3 linked regions of the Neodiprion lecontei genome follow. The protein of the gene in region 1 binds, or shares a complex with, the protein of each later gene. Links are inferred from orthologs where the notes say so. Each region holds a gene or a part of one and is shown in the gene's direction. Other genes may lie near its edges.

What was found.
Region 2: multifunctional methyltransferase subunit TRM112-like protein (region 1) and tRNA (guanine(10)-N2)-methyltransferase homolog share a complex: the UniProt entries of both Homo sapiens proteins name them as parts of the heterodimeric TRMT11-TRM112 methyltransferase complex. The link is inferred for Neodiprion lecontei from reciprocal best matches to the Homo sapiens genes TRMT112 and TRMT11.
Region 3: the proteins of multifunctional methyltransferase subunit TRM112-like protein (region 1) and rRNA N6-adenosine-methyltransferase METTL5 are in contact, whole or in part, in a crystal structure (PDB 6H2V), measured with the Homo sapiens proteins. The link is inferred for Neodiprion lecontei from reciprocal best matches to the Homo sapiens genes TRMT112 and METTL5. Residues at the interface, in NP_001359000.1 of Homo sapiens: Met1, Lys2, Leu4, Thr5, Leu8, Leu9, Ser10, Ser11, His12, Phe21, Pro22, Leu23, Pro34, Val35, Asn38, Asn40, Phe41, Arg44, Met45, Lys48, Glu92, Arg111, Gly112, Ile113, Pro114, Asn115, Met116, Leu117; in NP_001280115.1 of Homo sapiens: Asn52, Lys53, Val54, Gly75, Leu76, Val78, Ile82, Leu87, Asn91, Thr100, Ile102, Asp103, Met104, Val105, Gln106, Cys107, Asp108, Asn114, Arg115, Met116, Ser119, Phe120, Asp121, Arg150.

Annotation. Positions count from the first base shown.
Region 1 is NC_060261.1:39,652,533-39,659,345, reverse strand, and holds multifunctional methyltransferase subunit TRM112-like protein, read left to right. Parts: upstream 1-3,647; 5' UTR 3,648-3,802; coding exon 3,803-3,880; intron 3,881-3,998; coding exon 3,999-4,100; intron 4,101-4,388; coding exon 4,389-4,583; 3' UTR 4,584-5,267; downstream 5,268-6,813. Other genes in the region: ER degradation-enhancing alpha-mannosidase-like protein 3, read right to left, coding at 1-134, 217-345, 466-619, 703-815, 1,259-1,298, 1,417-1,517, 1,595-1,640, 2,222-2,343. UniProt on the Homo sapiens protein: Acts as an activator of both rRNA/tRNA and protein methyltransferases. Together with methyltransferase BUD23, methylates the N(7) position of a guanine in 18S rRNA.
Region 2 is NC_060260.1:5,293,595-5,301,782, forward strand, and holds tRNA (guanine(10)-N2)-methyltransferase homolog, read left to right. Parts: upstream 1-3,125; 5' UTR 3,126-3,236; coding exon 3,237-3,302; intron 3,303-3,400; coding exon 3,401-3,466; intron 3,467-3,866; coding exon 3,867-4,112; intron 4,113-4,183; coding exon 4,184-4,318; intron 4,319-4,441; coding exon 4,442-4,705; intron 4,706-4,861; coding exon 4,862-5,000; intron 5,001-5,139; coding exon 5,140-5,338; intron 5,339-5,493; exon of another isoform or gene 5,494-5,638; coding exon 5,639-5,765; exon of another isoform or gene 5,766-5,900; coding exon 5,901-6,062; 3' UTR 6,063-6,352; downstream 6,353-8,188. Other genes in the region: protein Peter pan, read right to left, coding at 920-1,200, 1,288-1,624, 1,710-2,036, 2,130-2,340, 2,471-2,751, 2,969-2,986; ER membrane protein complex subunit 2-A, read right to left, coding at 6,787-6,960, 7,067-7,162, 7,292-7,448, 7,524-7,667, 7,782-7,932, 8,034-8,147. UniProt on the Homo sapiens protein: Catalytic subunit of the TRMT11-TRM112 methyltransferase complex, that specifically mediates the S-adenosyl-L-methionine-dependent N(2)-methylation of guanosine nucleotide at position 10 (m2G10) in tRNAs.
Region 3 is NC_060264.1:2,798,858-2,805,594, forward strand, and holds rRNA N6-adenosine-methyltransferase METTL5, read left to right. Parts: upstream 1-3,326; 5' UTR 3,327-3,407; intron 3,408-3,905; coding exon of another isoform or gene 3,906-4,061; 5' UTR 4,062-4,105; coding exon 4,106-4,445; intron 4,446-4,521; coding exon 4,522-4,814; 3' UTR 4,815-4,901; downstream 4,902-6,737. Other genes in the region: protein HID1, read right to left, coding at 17-247, 333-574, 673-896, 970-1,023, 1,105-1,464, 1,561-1,626; alpha-aminoadipic semialdehyde dehydrogenase, read right to left, coding at 4,974-5,186, 5,276-5,536, 5,606-5,715, 5,796-5,924, 6,049-6,164, 6,234-6,433, 6,526-6,713. UniProt on the Homo sapiens protein: Catalytic subunit of a heterodimer with TRMT112, which specifically methylates the 6th position of adenine in position 1832 of 18S rRNA.

The DNA of each region.
Region 1 (6,813 bases):
GAGTCTATCCCAGCACCAACACCAGAGTCTCGACGCACCCAATCTCCAGAGTTAACGTTCAATACAGAACCCATCAAGTCTGTACCTCGATGGCGCATTCGCCAAAGACTGTCCATTGCCCGCTGCGCCTTTTCCTTTATGAAACAAACAAGCATGGAAGATTATATTTGATATCTAAGAAAACTCAGATGTTATAGCCGAGTGGGAGAAACATACCTCAAAAATCGGCTCTCCAGTTAGTCTGGATAATGCAGCCATCTCTAAAATCATGCTTCCAGCACAAGCAGTACAGGTTTCTCTAGTTGCTTCAAGAGGTATACCCTTCATCCCATTCTTCAGATTTATCTATCAACAATAAGGATTGAATGAGAAAAAATCCGTTAAGATCAAAATGGATAAGAAAAAATGTATTCAAAACAATGAGATCTTGATACTTGAAAAGAATTGGTTCGTAATTATATTTACCCTGCCATATGGAATACCAGTTGTTGTGTTAAACGCAGGCAAAAATCTGTATCCCAAATCCTTAGCAAGGTCCAAAAGCTCGCCTCTGTACCAAGGCATGATGTCCGCTCGTTGCTGCATGTATTCAGCTAGTATATGACTGCTCAGCAGTCCTCTGTTATCAAAAATATAAAATATAAGTTAAGCACATTGTTATTATAAATACAGTATATTTGGAAGTTCATTGATTCTATTTACCCAAGTACTCTTATGTTGGTTTCAAAAAGGGAGACAATCACGTCTGTCTCAAAAGATACGTCTCTGATTACCAACTTGACGGCATTTTGAAATTCTTCCAAGTCACCCAATAGCTAAAAAGTTTTTAAATTTATTTAATAGAGTCGATGTGAAAATGTGCAGACTACCAAATAAATACTCAGATTTACAGAAATATAGTGATGAGTAAAAATAAATCAATAATATTCCAAGACGTTGTTTATTCCAATCAGATTACTTGATGTAAATCGCAATCATAAGCTAAGCGAATTATTTTTGCGTGCAATAATCAATCCAAACGCTAAAAACGTGAGAAACATTTTATAACAAATACAAAACTCTCAATATTCACGTCGAATTGTGAGGTTTGACTGCATTTGGCGCATAATGCAATGTCTTTAACTGCAATTCAAAATCAAATTTCATGGTATGTAGAATTGTTAGAATACTGTAACTGAAACATTAGAATTTTCCAATTGCAAATAATTGAAGAACATCAACTTCAATTGTCAGTTCTACATAATATTCAATCACTCACCACAAGAGTGTCCATTGCATCCACCAGTGTTAATGAGAAGCTGAAATTCAATAAACAATTACTTTAGACTTTATCGATTCTTAGAATTTTATACAACTGACGAATGATTTGAATTTTGGAATCATTGCTTGTGATAAATATCTCCAAATATTGCTTACTTGCCGAGCGTAGTATCAATATCACCTCTATCTGGCTCTGATCCTCGATATCTCCCTTTACAGCTCAATGGCATCAGCTCATCAGCCGGATATGCATTGTCCTTTAAAAAATTGCAATTTAAGAAACGCTTATTCAGCACTTTACAAATCTAAGAACCTTAGGATTTCAAATACTTACCATGTAAGCATTGTATCCATGATAAAACATGTCCCGTGCTTCTTCCCTAAAAAGAAATCACCAGTTTTGTCAAACCTATCTACATTTTAAACAAAACATTTGGCCATACGTAAATAATTTGATTCTAGATATCGTTGCAAAACCTTGCAAGATACGGGCAAAGTGTTTGCTAACTGTGAGTATAATAAGTATTGACCGTTTACAGTTAAGAAAGTTGCTTGACCTTTATATCAATAAAAAATCAACCACCAAAAAAGTGACAGTAAGGCTGGAATAACCTTGAAAAATCCAACGCTTTCAATTATTGTAATATCCTTCCAAATACAGCAAAAATATTTATTTTTTTCTGTCCAGAAATTTAATAGGCCTAGTTAATAAATAGAAAATATTTCACTGTTACCCAAAGTTTGGAATATAAATTTTCCCAGTAGTTAAAAGAAACTTCAAGTACAGTTTCCTATGTGAATAGATAACTGCTATCAATATTTTACTACTCCTCCAAAATCATGCCTTCCTCTCAGTAACGGTGAAAGAAATTTTTCGTTAAAACGCCCATAGATAAAATATTACATAAATCTGTTTGGATAGTGACACGAGTAATAATTCATGCCAAATATAAATACTCACTTTAACGCTTCTCGTTCTTCCTTGCTCATGTACTCAATGGGGTCATCCTCAGAAGCTCTTACTATCGATATGAAAGCACATCCAAAGAGTAGGATCCCACATATCGATGCAGCATGAGCCATTTTAATTGATCACTTTCTATTTTCTGTTGTCAAGATATCAACACTTTCAGAAAATGATAGGGCATAGTTTTGCGATGATTTGGATCCGAACGTAGTCAAGTTCAAACTGTAATTAATCGATATATATTACTTTCTACATTGAAGGTTTTTAACTTCATATGCAAATTTCAATTTCTTAGTACGTGTCTGTTTATCGTCATCTGAAGCCTGTTGATCTTATTATTATGATTACTATTATTATTATATACAGTAAGTATTTACCTAATTTGCTGGTTGATCCAATTCTTATTATTGTTCGTTTTATTGTTTTTGTATTTCAATTTTTACTTATCACACTTCTATTTGTTACAGATAGTTCCAAACTGGTGAAAAACTATTTTTACTTATCTCACTGATGTCTATTATTGTTTTTGGGCGGTAATATTTACTAGTACTTGTGTGTAGGAGAATGTTTTCCCTCAGTGAAGGAACTAACAATTTCTCGGAGAACAATAATAATGGTATAATGAGACAGCATAAGGTTTCAAAATAACGTTAAATATATAATTCTTGTGACGAATTACCGAGGTATTTACGTAAAAATTTACCAGTTCGTAACTTGCCAGATGGTGCAGAAGCACGATAAGAAATAAACTCAACACACCTCACAACTGATTACACATTTTTATCAAGGCCAGATGATGTGGCTGTCAGTCGAACATCAAACACTTCACAAACCCAGTTGAGAAAGTCCGTCGATTTGTAGAACGAGTATTAGGTATACGTATGTTTACTTATATTACCTTACATAGCCGAAATACATTTATACACCTTTTCGAGGTGTTTGATTTTTAACGTTCCAATTTTATTCACACTGTTCATAGAATTTAACAATAACGTTGAACCAATTTAACAGTTTGTGATCCGCAACCTAACCTTAGTGATAAAAACTAGAGTAAAGTAAATCCGCTCAAAGAATAAGAGCAATCCATTATTCACTCCCACTGTTGCGCGGATGTGGAACTCGGATTCTACAGTCTGAGTCACAAACAATCAAACTTGCATCGAAACTTGTAAGTCTTGTACAGCCTTGTCGAAAATGTGATGAAATATTTTATTTGAAAGACTACTGATATAACTTCAGATTTTAAGAACCGAGACTCTGGCAATTCATGGTTTCGCAAACGTGGTACTTTTAGGGATTTTTAAACATACATCATACTTGTTTCAAAAACCAGAGTCTCGCGGTCTTGGAAAAGCCAACTTTTACCGTTATTCATGAATAAACGCTGTCTGGTTTTGATCCACATGCAGAATGAGAATGGGACACTTTGGTTACTTAAATGACCGTCAGAGGATCTCAAAGTAAAACCTTTCGATTTTATCGACAGACGACACATGTCAAAATAACGGTGCGACCGTTTGCAGTGCATATAAATAATTTTTTCAGCGTGTTAGTTATAAGTAAGCCTGAACAAAAATGAAGCTTTTAACCCATAACATGTTGACGTCAAAATGTTTGAAAGGCGTTACAGTAGGATACCCTTTAGCGATTGTGGTAAGAAAACCGCTTCGATAATCTTGAAACGAGTGCGGTACATTTTTGAGGTTATGAAGTTCATAAGCACCACATTAACCCTCATTCCAAAACCTTCACACGGTTCATTTATTTCCAGGCCAAGGATATCAAGGTTTCAGAAGTTGATTTCAATTCCGAATTCATCGCCAGAATTATTCCCAAATTAGATTGGGCCACCCTGTGGAAAGCAGCTGAGAGCGTAGGTCACCAATTCTTTAATAAATTAAAGCAAGATTAGCTCAAAACTTGCTATTGAATAACTTCTTACATGCATAGACAACGCAACGATCTATACATTTAGACGCAGGCGATAATCACTTCCTTATCTTTAATCGTGTTGAATTGTTTATGGTGAAACAACAATACTATACATGTAACGACCAACTCTCCAGATGCAAATTTGACTTGAGAGCTTTTTTCACTGAATTATCATAGTTAAAAAATTAATAGCTTCTGGAATTAAATTAACAACTACCCAAATTTACAGATTGGTCATGTTGGTGAGCTACCACAGACACTTGTGGAAGATTTTGAAGAAAATGAAGATTTCCTTAAAAAAGTCCATCACATTTTGTTAGAAGTTGAAGTGATAAATGGCGACTTGCTGTGCCCTGAGTCAGGAAGAAAGTTTCCAATAAATGACGGGATCCCAAATATGTTACTCAATGAAGATGAAGTGTAGAAATAAGCTGTAGTCATATATATTCCTACCAAAAATCTTGACAAGATCGTACATTGATGGAATATCGATAACTTTTTCATTAAAAAATCCTTGTACATTGCCACTTTATTCAATATTACTATTAGTTTAGAAAAACAAGTCGATATTACATTTCAGCCATTTAATGATGAATAGTCTTCTCTGTCTATAGAAAATTCTATACAGAATATAGAATATGCGATTTAAAGAGATACCTATTACTATAACTAATGCCTCGGTCATTTATAGATGCATCTAAAGGAACTCGCATTTAAAAGTGTTCAAAAAAGATCAGCATTTATTTATATTTCAGTAGAATATATGTATATTCTTGCAAGAATTTTTGTTCGAACTATTTTGGCGCTATTGTCAATTTACACGTGTCTCTTATAATAATTCTACGTACTTCACGTAATTATCTTTAATTTCAGTCATTGTAAATTTTGTAGTAAATAGATGCATCATTAACGTTATTTATTTATAATCTTTTGTCTTGAATAATGATGACTGTCTTTTAGAGTTAAAACTAGTAACTTAACTACATGTTATTAGATTTCATATCTTCACATTAAGTCTTCAAAAGTAAATGGCAAAATTAATTGTTTGTAATGAAGAATCAGTAAGCATTGCAACAATATGCCAAATCAATAAAAAAGTTACAAATCACCTTCAGATAAATTAATTGTTCGATCCTATCCATCATCTTATTTTCTATAGTAAAGAGTGGTTTTTATAATTGTAAACAATATCAGGCAATTTCTAAAAGGTAAAAAATACAAATGTATCATAATTTTGTAGTAGAAGATGAGAGGATTGTGCATGTGTGATTAAATAGTTTTTTTATTGCACAGATATGTATAGGTATACAACGAAATACAATTTTCTTTGACCAGTGATAACTGTGGTACAAATGCAGATGTTTAAATGTCTGCGTTTTATTGCTACAGAATTAGTGACTTGTTTAATTATGCTTATCAATAAAATTGTAAATTATACTAGAATACAACATTTTGGTACTAGTACTTTCTTGCTTCTTATACTTGATAAACGTTTACGGTTTGTAGTTTGTCTCTTTTGGCTTTTATATTTTTTAAGGAGTATTAAATCATCTAGCTGACTGCTAAAATGTTTAAACGATCCACCGTGGATCGTCACAATGGCAACTGAGAGTAATCTTCTCACGCATTTCTTGTCTATATAAGTAAATATTTAAAAGATTATTCAGAAAAATTAAATATACGAATTAAGTAAAATGAGTAATGTTGACAAAATTCCAACTTTACAAGTCAACAAACATTTATACTTATGATACAAGACGAATTATTACAAGTTCCACACAATTTTGACATTTAGCATGCTACTGTATTTCAAATGATGTTATTATTGCACCAGTTTATAGTTGTGTATTTCAACTAACAAGATTTAAAACACAAGAGTCAATAATATTTAGAATCATATTTTTTTCCATACGATCACAATATTCTTCATATTGAATTTTAAGGAAATACAACTACATGAGACTATAAGGTATTTATATTCTAATTATTAATTCTTTAAGGAGCTTGGCGTAGGTACATAAGATGTGGGGCATTTGCAAATTAATGTGATCATCACGACCTATTCGTTTGCTGTAAATAAAATGTTTTGAAGTTTTCCAAAGTAAACTGATCCGGGTAATATGTGCATCGCTTTAAAAAAATGGAACTACGTATTACAACATTCACCCGTTGAATTATCTGAATATGTAGTGACATAATAATTTTGAATAGAGAAGGACAGTTACATCCTTGCAGACACTTATCAAGAATTATGCTAAAGTCAAGAATCATCCCACACCTTTATATACTTAGCCATATGCGATAGTACGTAAATACATAGTCAAAATATATTATTTCACCCATCTTAGTTTCGTCAAAAAAGAATAAGCTATAAAAATAGCTCTGACCTACTAACATTTCAGCCACAGCCCTCCCTTATTTATCATATTTAGTATTCACATACAAATATTGTATATTAAGTTTTCTGAAGGCAGGATTATATTTGGATCAAGATAAGAAAAATACCTCTTCATCATTTCAACTATGGCACAATTCGTTTCACACGTAGTATTACACATGTCTTTCCTCCTCATAAATAACAAGACATTTTTTTATCTATATAACAATCAGATTTATGCATGTATTGGCAAAATAGAGAATTTTCAATTCATAAT
Region 2 (8,188 bases), on another chromosome or scaffold:
AAGAGGTATCAATTTTTATTATTACAAACGTGAATGAAAAGTGTTGACTAAAGTAAATTAAAAACTCATTATTTTTGTAATGTCCTATACATAAAATTATATGATGCATTTTTAGATTTAAGTACAATAGCTTTAAAAATGAAATAATATTTATATCTTCGTTTCAACCAAAGAGACCTTAGAAGTATCTTCAATTGTATAATAAGGTCTCTAAAAAAATTATTTCCTTTAAGTACTGCTTTGTATTTGTTTGTATTTCGTGACTTCATTGCTGTACAAAGTATACTATCGGCAAAGACTACGTGATTTGGCATTGCGGTATTTGAAATACAAGACTAGTCCAAAAAGGAATGTGAAGCGATCATTATGTGTCAATTTCATCCAAGTATTAAACAATCCAAGAATGTATTGTACAAAAACTTTACTAGATTCACTTTTGTCTGTAAGCTTTTATACTTATTGTACATTGACTTCATGTATTTGGTGAAAAATATAATAGTACAAAAAAATTATATTTTAATTACACGTACTGGAGTCATATTTTGTTAAAAAAAAATGTAATAGCACCGAGGATTACTAATTTTTTTTTTACACGTTATAAAGTTAGATGGAAGTTTATGACAATTCAAAATTTTTTCAAAATTCATTCGGTATTATTATTTTTTAGCTTCAAATAGTCCCGAATTTGCTTCTATTTGAAGTCCATCAAAATGAAAATTTATTTCGTAAGTTGTGAAAACATCTCTGTTTTATAATAAAAAGTCTCCATAGAATTTTATACTTTACGTACCGCCTCATTACCTTTCTGAAATCACAAGAATTGGCATAAGAAAATAACTGAGATTATATTATTATAAATTATAATGATGAAATAAATTTATTGAGTTTTCATTACAATTGTCATTACGTTGATATTTCTCTAGTTCCGTCTCCTTTTAATTTTACTGCCATGCGCAGATCCTTTTCCTTTGAAAAACTTTTTATTACCCTGTGATTTTGTACCACCGTCTTTAACGCCAAATTTCTTTTTTTGTCTGTAACTATACTTTTCATCATCATATCTGTTTTTATTACCAAACTGTTTATTCTTTTTGTCACCGTTTTTAACGTTTTTGTCGAGCCTCGATTTCTTTGTCTTGTATTTAACTGGATATGAATTTGGTCGCTTGTCACCAGTTTTTGGTCGCCCCGAAAACAAATCTGGAATACAAATGAAAGAGCACCTATTAACATTATTGTACAGAGATTAATTTAATGATATGAGTTTTGTTTGCACTACGCCATTACCTTTATCAGGTTCTTGGCCAACTTCCTCTCTATAATACTGTGCATCGTCGTCTTCCTCGACCTGATTGTCTTCGTAGGACTCTTTTGCAGCTTTGTGCATAAGCACGTCACTTTCCGATCTTTGTTTTTTCATACCCTTAAGACTTTTCTGTTTCTCCTCTTCCTTCATTGCTTCCTTTTTCTTTTTATTTTCTTCCTGTACCTTTTTCCGATTTTCTTTAAGCTTCTTTTTAACCTCACGGCTCTTTTGTATTTTGAGTATTTCTTCCTCGGTTTTATGCACAAATTCATGGTACATAACTTGTCCATCCAATAATCCATCTTCAACTTTTATCAGCTGAAACAGGGTTACAAAATATTTATTCTTTGCCTTTATCCCAAGTACATGAAATATTTATGAGAAAACTGGAATATATTTTTACCTGCATTGTTATTCGAGGCCCTAGTTCGATGAGTCTAATTGCGCTCGTGCCACTTTTGTGATTACCTCTGGACGATAATTTCTGGGGCAGGGTAACATGACTCGAGGGATCCTCTTCTGCTTCGCTTTCAGAGAATGTGGGTTTTGTAAGGAATTCTGAAAAGTCTTGACATTTAGAGAGATTGGGCACTTTAGCTTGTACTATTTTCTTAACTCCTTTTGATAGTCCAACTGGTACCATTTTTATAGCGTAATGCCTGAAGTCTATTAGCTTTGTCACACTGTTGTAGTTAAGACAAACACAACGACGAATTGTGCTGAGGTTTACCTAGAAAACAATCCCCAAAATCCGTTAAAAATTCCATGCCAGAGCTCTATATTCCTATGAAATAAAAAGGTATTCCAGGTTGAAAATACTTACAGTGGTAAGATTAATTGTTGGAAACATGTTTTGAAACATCGATGTCATGAGTTTCATTTGCATGCCTTCTCCGCTGAAATTATTCAATACCATCAATGGAGAGTGTTTGAAAGCTTCTTCAAAGACCATTTGCTTCTTTATCGTTGAAACTACATCTCTCGCTAGTGAGAAACTGGTTATTTTAAAAGATAGTGTGGGCCCTCTTGGTATTCTATAATTTTAAGTACAGGAATTAATGAAATCCTAAGTGGTAATCACTTATGGACAGTTTAAGAAGTCAAAATGTGACTGTAGATATGAAATTTTCAGATGCAAGCAAGATTTTGTAATACTCGTATTACCTACAAAGTTTCAGGTACATTCCCAGTTCTGTTCGTGTAAAAATGCACATATGAGAAACGTGGAGAGCACCAGAAACCGAAACGAAATCTTTAATCGTGTTTCGTTTCCGAGCTTTTAATGATGATGCTGTGTATGGTTCCATAACTCTTCGAAAATCCTTAGTTAACTCCAAGATATGTCCTCCTGGAAGTCCACGTTGTATAACAAAAGAATGAGGAGCGCGCACCAAATCCACAGGCTCTTCGCTGTTTATTTGTTTGTTCCGCTTTACGCAGCGGCCCTAAATACAGTATAAATCGTGAGTTATATTTGGATAGGTATCTATGTTTGATGTGTGACGAACCGATTTTTAGTATAAATTTATTGGTCTGTATGGGCAGAATTTTACAGATACTTTTATTGAGGTTATGAAGAGAGCACTAGATATTAATTATGTCTATATTTACGTTTACTAGGAATGTTATTTCATTCATTTGGGAGGAACAACTATCGCTCACCTTTTTCGAACGTCCCATCTTAGAAAAATTTTTCGAGAATAAAGTTTCGTAAACAAAATCTTGTACGCACGTTGCCGACGTGCTTCGTAACCTCAAATTTGGCAATCTGTGAAGTGTGCACTCTGCGCAAGTGTGGTCCACACACCACACATTGGTGGCATGGGTGTCAGGTTGGACAGCTGACGGGATTTAAAGTTGTGCTTGGCTTGTGCTTGTTTTGTAGTCGTTTACCCCATGAACATATTCAAGGATATCAATTGAACGAAAAATGATTGGAATTCCAAAAAAATATTTATTATGGTTCGCGCACGAGCACGTCGATTTCAGGATAGCGGTATGGAATTTTTCAAATTTGCAAACTTCCACTAGATAATGGTTGAATTAAATTGTCATTTTTGAGGTTAATGTTATAAAACCTCGAATTTGTAACAGGAAATCGAATCTATTTGTGAGATGTACGATATTAAAGTCACGACAATTCTGAGGCCTGACGAGTATGTAAGTAAATAAATAATTTTTCGACTACTCACCGACTTATCACTGCTACAGTTCCTACAATTTTTAGGTTATGTTATTATTCCACATCTGGTGAACATAATCGAATGTTCACCACTGTTGTTATCAATAAGTAGATGTTACATTAATGAACCAATCTTCAGTAATAGCTTTGCTCAAACCACAATTTTCCTGGGAGTATTAGCAAAATTGGATTGAAATGATGAAATTTTTTACATTTTCTCAAATCTTTTTGCTCACTGGCGCAACATTTCTATCATTGCTAACTTTTCTATAAAGTTTACCCCTTCATTAATATTTTCTTGGATTATTTCTTGATACATAATGTTTACTTTGTATCTGTACCTTTTAATTCATTGAAAAAAAATGTATTTAAATTTAGCCATATTGGATAATCGAGTCAGATTCAGAAGATGCTGTAAAAAAAATTGCTAGCAGATCCATATCGCTTCGTTCCTGCATTGAATTGTGGGGTGATGGGGGCAGCCATGAAGATTTGCACAGGAGTTTGAAGGAGTACCCGCAAGGAAACATGAGACTACATCTTAATAATGAAAAATCCTTCAAAGTTATTGTTGAAACATTTTGTAAGCATTTTTCACAAGATGAGAAAATTAAGAAAATAGAGGTAATGTACTATCTTGTATATTTGAAAAAACAAGGTGATCTTTACTATCTGATTCTGTGAATTAATTACAGTCCTTTAGTTATCTGCCAATAGAGGGTCCTGTAAATTTGCGAAATCCAGATACAGCATTGATGTATATAGAGTATTACGGACTAGATCCTAATACAATACCTGACAAACCTTATCACCTTTTTTTCGGAAGACTGGTAAGAATTATGAATTATCGTTTTGCGTGGATTTTATGATCAAATAAATTTTGAACATCGTTTTAAAATTGTCACGAAATCACAATAATCGTGAATCTTGATCATTTCACGTTATTTTTTCAGGTGGCTGATGGCCAGAGACAATTAATACGTAAACTATCTCTCAAAACGCGAAATTTCATAGGAAATACTTCAATGGATCCTCAATTATCTTTGATAATGGCCAATCAAGCGCAAGTAAAAAATGGAGATTTAATTCTCGATCCGTTTGTTGGTTCCGGGTCGCTACTTGTTGCAGCATCTCAATTTGGAGGGTACACTCTCGGTACAGACATAGATTATCTAATGCTTCATGCACGCACAAGGCCCTCTCGGATATCACAGAAGGTACACATCTTCGTTACTTTCATTAAAGTAGTTTTCTTTTATTCTTTCCTTATTGCTCAATATTGTTATTAACCGGAAACAACGATGGTCCTAAAACCATGTTACGGTCATGCCAATGCAAGAGCTTGAATGCCTTTAACTCTCTCTGTTTTTTAGACCAGAGGGAAAGACGAAAGTATAGCATCGAATATGAAGCAATATGGAACAAGTTCATATTACATCGATGTCTTAGTGACAGATTTCTCTTTACCTGTCTGGCGTTCAGACATGAGAGTCGATGCAATTATCACAGATCGTAGGTTCAATGCATCACATTATTATGATGGGCATACAATACAAGAGTTTAAAATCGATCGACATTGCGAATAGTAATGAATCCGAAAACTTCTTAGCAATTGAATTTCAGCTTTAAAATCATCTTAAATCTTGCACAGCTCCATATGGAATAAGAGAAGCAACGGAGCGTGTAGGTACCATAAAAAGACAGCCTGTAATCGACCAGCATCAAGTAGCTAGTCATATACCTTCTAAGATTGACTACGGGCTGCCTCAGATGTTCGTTGATCTGCTCTCATTTGCTGCGAATCATTTATGTATTAACGGCAGATTGGTATGCTGGTTTCCTTTGTTCAGGTAAGAACGTAAAAAATATGAGACTTATGATAAACTGACAACAGACTGCAGACATCAAATGGTTGAAATTTTCGATGACTATATATTTTTTTGATAATTCTGAAAAAAAAAAACAAGGTTCCATTTGCTACTAAGACCCTTTAAGCCGAGTCTGCTGTATTTCAAAATATGTTTTAATTTTATTTATTTTAATACAAACAATCCATAAACAACAAATGTTGCACATATTAATAATTTAAGTAATAAAAATAATGTGCTGTGTTGAATGTCATGTAATTGAACGTATACATGATCCTACAGGGAACACTATGCAGACGAGCAGCTTCCTTCACATCCATGTTTGCAATTAATTGCCAATTCGGAACAGATTCTGAGTACATATACAAGTCGCCGCTTGCTCACTTATAAGAAAATTCGAGATCCTCAGGTACATAGGAGCATCATGAATTTGCAAATTTGAACAGTTGGTAGAAAGATTTCATTTCGCTGTCTGAAATGAACCTTACAGAATCCTATATATTTTTGTTCTAAGCGTAAGATTGACAGTTTTTGTTCTTTGTAGGATGATGATCCAATTGATGATTCGAATGTATTAGACTTCCGTGTAAGATATTTCGGACATGGAGATGAAACAAGAAAAGAAAGAAGAATGAAGAGAGCAGAACAGAGGGCAAAGAATAAAGAGAATTGGGAAAAAAATATTAAGTCAAAAACTGCAAGATGACTAAATCTTTTTTATATGTAAAAGTGGTAAAAGTTTATTTAACAAACCTGCTTTTTACTTTATTTAAAACGCACTTTTACACGAATAAAAATATTTTTTTACCATTTATTATTTCTCAGCAAAGACATCATGCGAGTAGAAATTGCAAACGTGGTCTTTTTTCAAAATACCACAGTATTTTTAAAGGTGCTATTCGACTTCAATTCTCAAGGTCGCCTAAATGTTGTTCATGTACCGTCACATCAAAAGCTCTTCACGTATAGATCCCGTTTCAAAACATACGTAGACATCCATGGATGTCAAAAGCAAATCTATGAACTCATGTTTTGTCAGACCGACAGTAAATAATCGGTATTATTATTTATTTTTTCATTCAATAAATTTAATATTCATGATGAATAATATTAAATAACAATATAAACATATTCTTTTAGAAACCTTCACAAATAGGAAATACAACTACTGGAAAGATAATTTCTTACAACAGTGCCATACACGAAATACATCATATTTACGTACCATGTGGAGTTCAAATAAAATGCAAATAAGCAGTGTGTATACTTATGTATACTTAACTTGATAAATATGTATACTGTATGCATATGTGATATACTAGGAAGGTTTCATAGTTCCAATGGATCAATGTTTCAAACACATCAGTAGATAGCATCTCTCCGTACATCCATCAGCGTACCAAATACATATACATTCATATAATATATGTCTATGACTCTAATTGTAATTGCCCTAGTACATCTACAACATTTTTAACATCTTTTTCTGTCGCTTTTAATGCATACCTTTTCTGAATTTGAGTTGCAGCCCAATTGCCAAGCTTTATTGCATCCTTTTTCTTTGAAGCAGGACACTTTGCTGATAAAGCAATGTTGTTTGCCACCTATTTAAGTTAGCAGATAGTATTATTCTCAAATCGTCTACTATTTCCGACAAATTTTCTGCCCTAATATAATTTGCTTATATAGAGAACACTTCTGAAAACTTACCAATAATAGCCCATAAAGTGCTCGTACGTTGTTGGGATTCAACTTGATTGCTTGAGCGAAATAAGTTTTTGCCAATTCCATATTATCGAATCCACCCTAGATGATAAAATATTAGATTTGTTAAATTTATAGGACAGCAAAATTAGAGTACTTAATCTTTACTTGAAGTGAATATTTCATTTCTATTTAGGTAATACTACAGAAGAGATGCGTTCATTCACTAACCTGGGTATACTTAATTTCTGCATATCGCTGATAAATCAAATGACTATGAGGGTTGTGCAAAATTAATTCTTCCATGCAAAAAGCTGCTTTAGCATACTCTTGCTCTTGCAGGTATAAATCACACAATTCGTGCCATGCTTCTTGGTCACTCATGAACCTGTTTAGAGAATGTCAGTATTTTAATCAAATGAGTAACAGGTTTTACAACTAATTCCTGATGCGGATGACTAACTTTTTCAAATACTCGGTGAGTTCTTTTATAGCTTCAGTTATTCGACCTTGTGCCTTTAGAATTGCCAATCTTCTTTTTCTTGGTGCTGCGTTAGTTTCATCTCTTTTGATTATGGAGTCCAAAATCTTGAGGGCCTCATCGTATCTGCAAATGAACACATTATTTGTGCCAAGTAATTAGAGATCATAGAATATATATAATCATGGCAATTTTCAGTGCATCATTATAAAGTTAATGTAAAATGGTTATATGTAATACTTTTCCAAGGCTTCCATGTGCATTGCGTGATATTTCAGCACCCTCAGGCTGCCTGGAAATTCTTGCTCCAATAAATCAATACATTCTTTGGCAACTGATAAACGATTGCAATCCAAGGCAGCCACACACACTTGTTCTAAGACTAAATATTCTATAAAATAATAAATACCGCAATATGAAGGTCAATTTTCACGTAATATTTCATTTTAGGTAAGGGTTAGATGAATAAATATTTATTATGAGGATTTTTACTTTCGTTTCCTAATTTATGGATCTTCTCTATTAATATGGATTCCCATAGCTCAACCACATCTTCACTCTTGCGTTCAGAATCTTCTCGCCAAGTTCTGAACAAGTCTCGTACATCTGTGGATTTGATTTGAAAATTGATTAGCCGTATAAATTTT
Region 3 (6,737 bases), on another chromosome or scaffold:
TTAAAATATTGCTTACATTGATCAGCCCTCGAGTCATTAAGATGATAAAGAATGGGTACAAGAACCTCCAGCACATCAGAGCTCTTCAACACGTAGTAAAGGAACTTTTTGTTGTAGTCGCACATTTTCCAAAAAAATACCAGCAACTCCTGATGAAAGTGTACTTTTTTGGTAGAATTTGGCAAATACGTTTGAAGCAAAGGATTATTCAGAAGTCTTGTTATTCCTTTTAAGACAAACTGAAAATCTGAAAAAAAAGAGAACACAAGGTCATTCTCCAGGTCATTCTGAGGATGGAAAAATTGTTATCAGTTACAGTTGATTCAAGCTACCTTCATCTCTGTGAATTCTGCTCAGATAATTAATGAACAAATTATCTCCAGGAACCCCTTCCTCTGATGGCAGGCCACCACTTGTGTCATGGTCCAGAGTCACGATCAATATCTGTAGCGAGACGTCGACTAGCGGCTCCAAGGAATCCGTAAATATAAGATGGTTGTAAGGAACTCCAAGTCCGACTGGGTCATAAGCGCAAACGGTGTTCAAAAGGGATGTAAACATGGGCAGAGCGTGCCTGAAAGACAAAATTGCATTCGCCTATCACCTTCTGTTCAACTATATAAGGAATTTAGGATCCCTTGAATCTTGAATGCGTGTTTAACCCATTGATACCTGTTCTCGGTACTGGTGAGGTGAGCGATCCACCGATTGGGTGTTACCGAAAGGTCTGTAGGAGGGTTGTACATAGTCTCACTGAAGCAAGTGAGCAGGAGTTTCAAGAGTTCAGTTCGGTTTGAGTCCAAGTATGGATATCTTGGTGGAGAATGTGCGAATCCTACACCAGCTTCCCATATGTATTCGCAGCTATCTATCGACTGTAGTTCTTCGGCTTTATCCTAAAGAAAGCAACAGAAGCATTGTCAAAATTACATTTAAAAATCTGCTTTTGTTTCTTTTTGCCCAACTTACCGGTCCTGATTTTCTATTCGCAGCCACAGTAAAGTCAGGACAAAAGAGCAAATCCTGTAAGGAAATCAAGTTAATTATTCACATAGTCAGAATGTGAACACAAATTTCAACATAAACCAATGTCCCAATACTTACGCATATCGCGTTGAGTAGAGAATGAGCAAGAGGGATGCTCTCTTCGTCTTCTTTGCCAGGTAAACTCGACCAAAAGAATCCCTTCCAGTCAGGATCCTCAAATATGTAGGGTAGAAGCCTGGTTAGCAGCCGGCAGCAGTTCAAGACCATTTGATGTTCACGCTGCGTTCGACAGCTGTTGTCGACTGCTTTAACGAGTTTCTCTACCGCCTTGTAGCATAGCGTTGCCAAATTTGATGGGGCTTCTTCCCTGAGCACCCTGATCTCTGGCGCGGGTATCAAAGTGAATATATCCTGAACGTTCACCACGTTCTCACACCAAAATTGGTCCCAGAATGTGTCGTCTGCTGCGTCTATGGGCTGGAATCAATGGTATTGTAACACGTTTTGATTAACGTAAGTGAATTTGATGAAACCGAGAGATTCCATGTGTCAGAAAGTTTTGATTCTCCTCACCTGGGTCTTGGATGTCAGCTGAACAACGGCCTTGCGAAAATTTAACTTCGTGTCAGCGTTTCCCATGGTTTTACAAATTGCTAAAAACTTGTGTGTATAAATAATTCGTACGGAGTTTTCAGGGGATCGTTGCTCGCAGATGTGTCGCAGCGCGTAACCGACGGCAACGGTGGACGAGTCGTAGGCCGATTAAGCAGTTGGCCGTCGATTCCGGGTTCACCCTGATGGGATATCGACGCGAAGACAACGTATCGTCGGGGTATTCATCGCCGAGACGGGATAGAGGCGAAGCGATTCAAGTAGAATTAGCGTGGGTGTGAGACAACCACTCGACACCTTTTAACGATTGATAACTATGTTACGTGGCTGTCGGTCCTAAATCCAGTGTATAATTATGTACGTTTATACTTTCATTTTCACTTTGTAATCTTTTCACTGCTCTACATATTCTGAATATTCTTCTGACACGATTACAAATACTGATTGTGTACGGCGGCAAGATAACCGAAACCACTCTGAAATTGACGGATGTCAGACGTGTATGCATGTATGTACCATTGAATAATTAGTATCTATATCCCACTAAAGAGAGCAGGCTATATGGAAATATATGTGTCAGAAAAATTGAATAGCGAGTTACCAACATTTATAAGGATAATTGATCACTGTGCATTCTGCAGTACCGACAATGCCGACTGTTGCGTCTACAAAAATATTTTGTCTTTTCTCTATCTTGTGCGCTGGAGAGAGATGAGCAATATAGTGTTACCGACCCTCGTCTTCACGTACCGACTAATTTATCAAATTATCATATCTAATCGTCTCACACTTTGCTCCGTATAAATAATCTACATATGATTGAGATGTCACTACGTTAACAATTTACCGCTAATTCAGCGAACGAATTCGTCACGTTCTAATCATATTGTTGTTATTTTTCGATTGTTATCATTTTTTGCAAAGTAGCTGTATTTTGATTTTTACATAATAATTGAGGGTGATTACATTGTTACAGAGATCCCCTCATCTTTGATAGTTAACCGCGCTCTCACCAGGGCCTGGAAATTGCCAGCTGGTTCCCTGTTCAGTACTGCTTTCAACCACGGCACGCCTATTAGCGCTATCGTCGCGGCCTATTCGCAGTACTCTGGTGACGCCGCCGCGATTTCACAATTAGTTGTGGCTAGGCATTGATACGAGTAGGTCGTGACCGTAGTGACTCGTGAGATATTAGATTAAAACGTTCGGCAGGTTCAGCTGCTAAAATTTGGTATCCCTACCAAATGGCTTTTTCGCAACCAAATTCGAGAGGTAAGGAGCTGAGATACTTCATACGTGGTTATTCGTTAATTGAAAGTCCCAAAAATTATCGCGATTCCACGTATATTGTTTTCTCCCAGAGCTACAAAACAGAAAGATACTGGAAGAAATACAGTTGAAGAAGCAGCTACTTTTGAAGCAGGGCGTTGCGCCTACCCTTGGAACTTCTTTAACTCCGCTCGCTGTACCACCCGCTACTTCTGCTGCGACTCAGGTACGTCCGTCAAACAAATTCTTGAGTTTCGGATGAGGTTGGGTTACGTTCTGTTAGTTTAAATCACGGTGTAAGAATAATAGGATATCTAGTTTAAATCACGGTGTAAGAATAACAGGATGTCTAGTTTGAATCACGGTGTAAGAATAATAGGATGTCTTTTTTGAATCATCGTGGAAAAATAATAGGTATGTTGCGGCTCGGCGGTTGTGATTATTTTTGCATAATTCGGTACTTGTCCACTAAACGGCTACGGGTCTGTAAGACCATTGTAAACAATAATGGCGGCATGCAGTGTCCGAAAGAGAGGAAGGTAATTTTAGGTTAATCATGAGATGAGCGTGTCATATTTATAAAAAATATGACTAGAAGTTGCATTTGAAAACATAAAATACCAAAAAATGATAATAAATTTTTAAATATATGAAATATATAAAGTAACATAAACTAAATAGAAGTCATAATAAACCTATGAGATTGAGGTTTGTAACATTGATGCAACAGAATAATGGAAAAAATTTGAACTTGAGTGGTCGAACGTTTCAAAAGCAGTAAACTACACTACATAATTTTCCAAGTTGGTTACAACATTGTGTCTCGTTTATTTTGCAATTATAACAAGATTTGAGTCACAAAATTGTGCTATTTCCAAGTACCCTATGCGTCGACGTTATGAATTTCAAACTGCTAAAAGTTACGTTTTCATCAACCTAGATAATTTTCTCTTTGCCACCTATTATTTTTACACCCTGGTTTGAATTCACGTGGATGGCAACACTATCACGTTTTATATATTTTACATTATCAACAGAATCCCGCAACAACGGTGGACGGTATAGCATTGAGTGCTTCTCAACGCGCAGCTCTTCACAACGCTCATGCAGCCTCTGCTGGATTCTTTGTCACCCAGGACTCGTCCTTTGGTAACTTGATCCTGCCAGTACTCCCTCGGTTTGAGACCAAGTGAACTACTATCAGGCGTATTATTCAAGAACGGTTATTGTGACCAAAATGGCACCCATGCGATTAAGAGAGCTGGAAGAGTATCTTCAACAATTGGATGGATTTGAAGAGCCAAAAATTTGGCTTGAACAATATTCTACGAGCGCTCACATTGGGGCGCACATCCTGCACACAGCATATACACACTTCGACGATATAGAAGGAAAGGCTGTTGCTGACTTGGGTGCAGGATGTGGGGTACTCTCACTTGGGGCCCAACTTCTCGGCGCCAGTCATGTCGTCGGGTTTGAAATTGATGCTGATGCACTGTCTATACTCAGAAGTAATTGCCTTGAATTAGAAACTGATGTCGAGGCAGTTCACTGTGACTTACTTAGTTACTTGCCCGGTTAGTTGAGATCTAATAATTCATAGTCCAATGATTCGAGGGTCATTATGTGAATAATAAATATCACTGATTTTAGGTAGATTTGAGAAGTACTTTGATACAGTTGTGATGAATCCGCCTTTTGGCACAAAACGCAATGCTGGAACAGACATGAAGTTTTTGGAGACTGCAGTCAGTATTGCACGACATGCTGTCTACTCTCTCCACAAGACTAGCACCCGCGATCATGTGCTTAGGACTGCAAAACGCCTTGGAACAACGGCAAAAGTTGTCGCTGAATTGCGATACGATCTTCCTCGAGCGTACAAGTTTCACAAAAATACTTCCGTGGATGTCCAAGTTGATTTCATAAGACTTGAATTAGATTAGGTAAACAACATGAAAAAGCATTCATCATCACTAATCAATTTCTATGTGTAAGTATAATGGAAGATTTAATAAATTTGTACAGAAATAGTGTTGTGGTTCTTTTGTTATGTTTCGTTGTTATTCCTACTCGCATAAATTATGGTTTGATTTTTTCATAGTTCACTCGAATTTGATCCCTTGAGCCAAGGGTAATTCATTCCCGTAGTTGATCGTTATTGTTGCCCGTCTGGCATAGTGCTTCCACGCATCACTCCCACTCTCTCGTCCTCCGCCAGTTGCCTTTTCTCCACCGAATGCTCCTCCAATTTCTGCACCGCTAGTCCCGATATTTACGTTTATTATCCCACAATCAGAACCAAGGGGCCCAATCCACTGTGGAAAATAAAAATTGGTGATTCACAATTAATACCGTTTGTTTTTTCCAAAATCAGATTTCAATGAAGCACTGTAAACCTTAATACCTTAAATAATTCTCCAATGTTGTTAGTGAAGAGGGAACTGCTCAGTCCCTGTTCCACGTCGTTGTTTACGGCTATCGCTTCCTCCAATGAATTCGTCTCAAGGATGTAAACAATCGGGGCAAACGTCTCATGTCTAACAACATCTGAACTAGCGGGTAAGCCAGATATTATAGTTGGTTCAACATAGAAACCAGGCCGGTCAATCACTTTTCCACCAAATTCTATGCACCCTCCAGACTTTACTGCTTTTTCGACAGTCAGCTGTAACAAGCAGTATTTTGATTTTGGTATGCTTAACAATTAAGCTTATTTTGTACTTAATCGTCTCACCTTGTAGGCCTCTACCGCTGCAGGACTATGCAAAGGTCCGTAGAGGGTACTCTCTTCAATAGGATCTCCAATCCTACCAAGAATGCCTGCGAATGCCATTTTGAGCCTCTCTAAAATTAACGAAAGATTGGAAACAAGTACTATTTATTGAGATCTTTCTACGAGTTGGTAGTAGATCAAAACTGTGTACTCAAGAATTCTGTCCTAATGTCGGTTTGCAAAATCAGCCTCCTAGTAGTTGTGCATCTTTGTCCTGCTGTGCCAACGCAGGAAAATACAGCCGCTCGAATTGCCATATCTAAATCTGCGTCCTTGGTGACTGAAATTTCAATGTGAATTGTAAATTTATTAAATTTTAAAAAACCAACAATCTATCGACTATGATTCTAAACCGGACATTTTCTGCCTCTACAGAAATATGTGTAACTTGTTATTTTAATTACCAATCAGTGCATTGTTGCCACCTAATTCTAGAAGCGATTTGCCAAATCTCTCTTGAACTTTTAAAGCGACATTTTTTCCAGCCTTCGTACTTCCCGTGAACGATATCAACGGTACACTAGAATAACAGATTGTTTCTTTGTAGTATGCAGTATCGATGAACTCATTACAGAGATATTTCAGTTACCGATTGTCATTGACTAGCAGTTCCCCAACATCTGTCCCACCAGTTATGAGCGATGCAACTGAGCCAGGGATCCCGTTACGTTCGAGGACCTTGGCGACAATTTTCGTTGTCGCAATTGAAACCAAGGGCGTAGTCGGGGCTCCTTTCCAGACCAGCGTGTCTCCGCAAACCATGGCTATGGCGCTGTTCCATCCGTAAACCTTTAGCAGGGGTAAGATTGAATTAAAATTCTTTGTATTTTCAGATGTTTTGGATTTCTGGATATGAAAAGTTTTATTTTATTTAGGATTACTGCAACGGGAAAGTTGAATGCAGAGATAACTCCGACTACGCCTAGTGGATTCCATTTTTCCAGTAGCACATGATCTTTCCTTTCGGAAGGTAGGAGACTTCCTGGCAGAGTCCTAGACAGCCCAACAGCGTAATCGCAAACGTCAATGTACTCCTGTACTTCACCAATGCCCTCAGCTAAAATCTTTCCTGTGTCATGGAAGTGAAGATGTT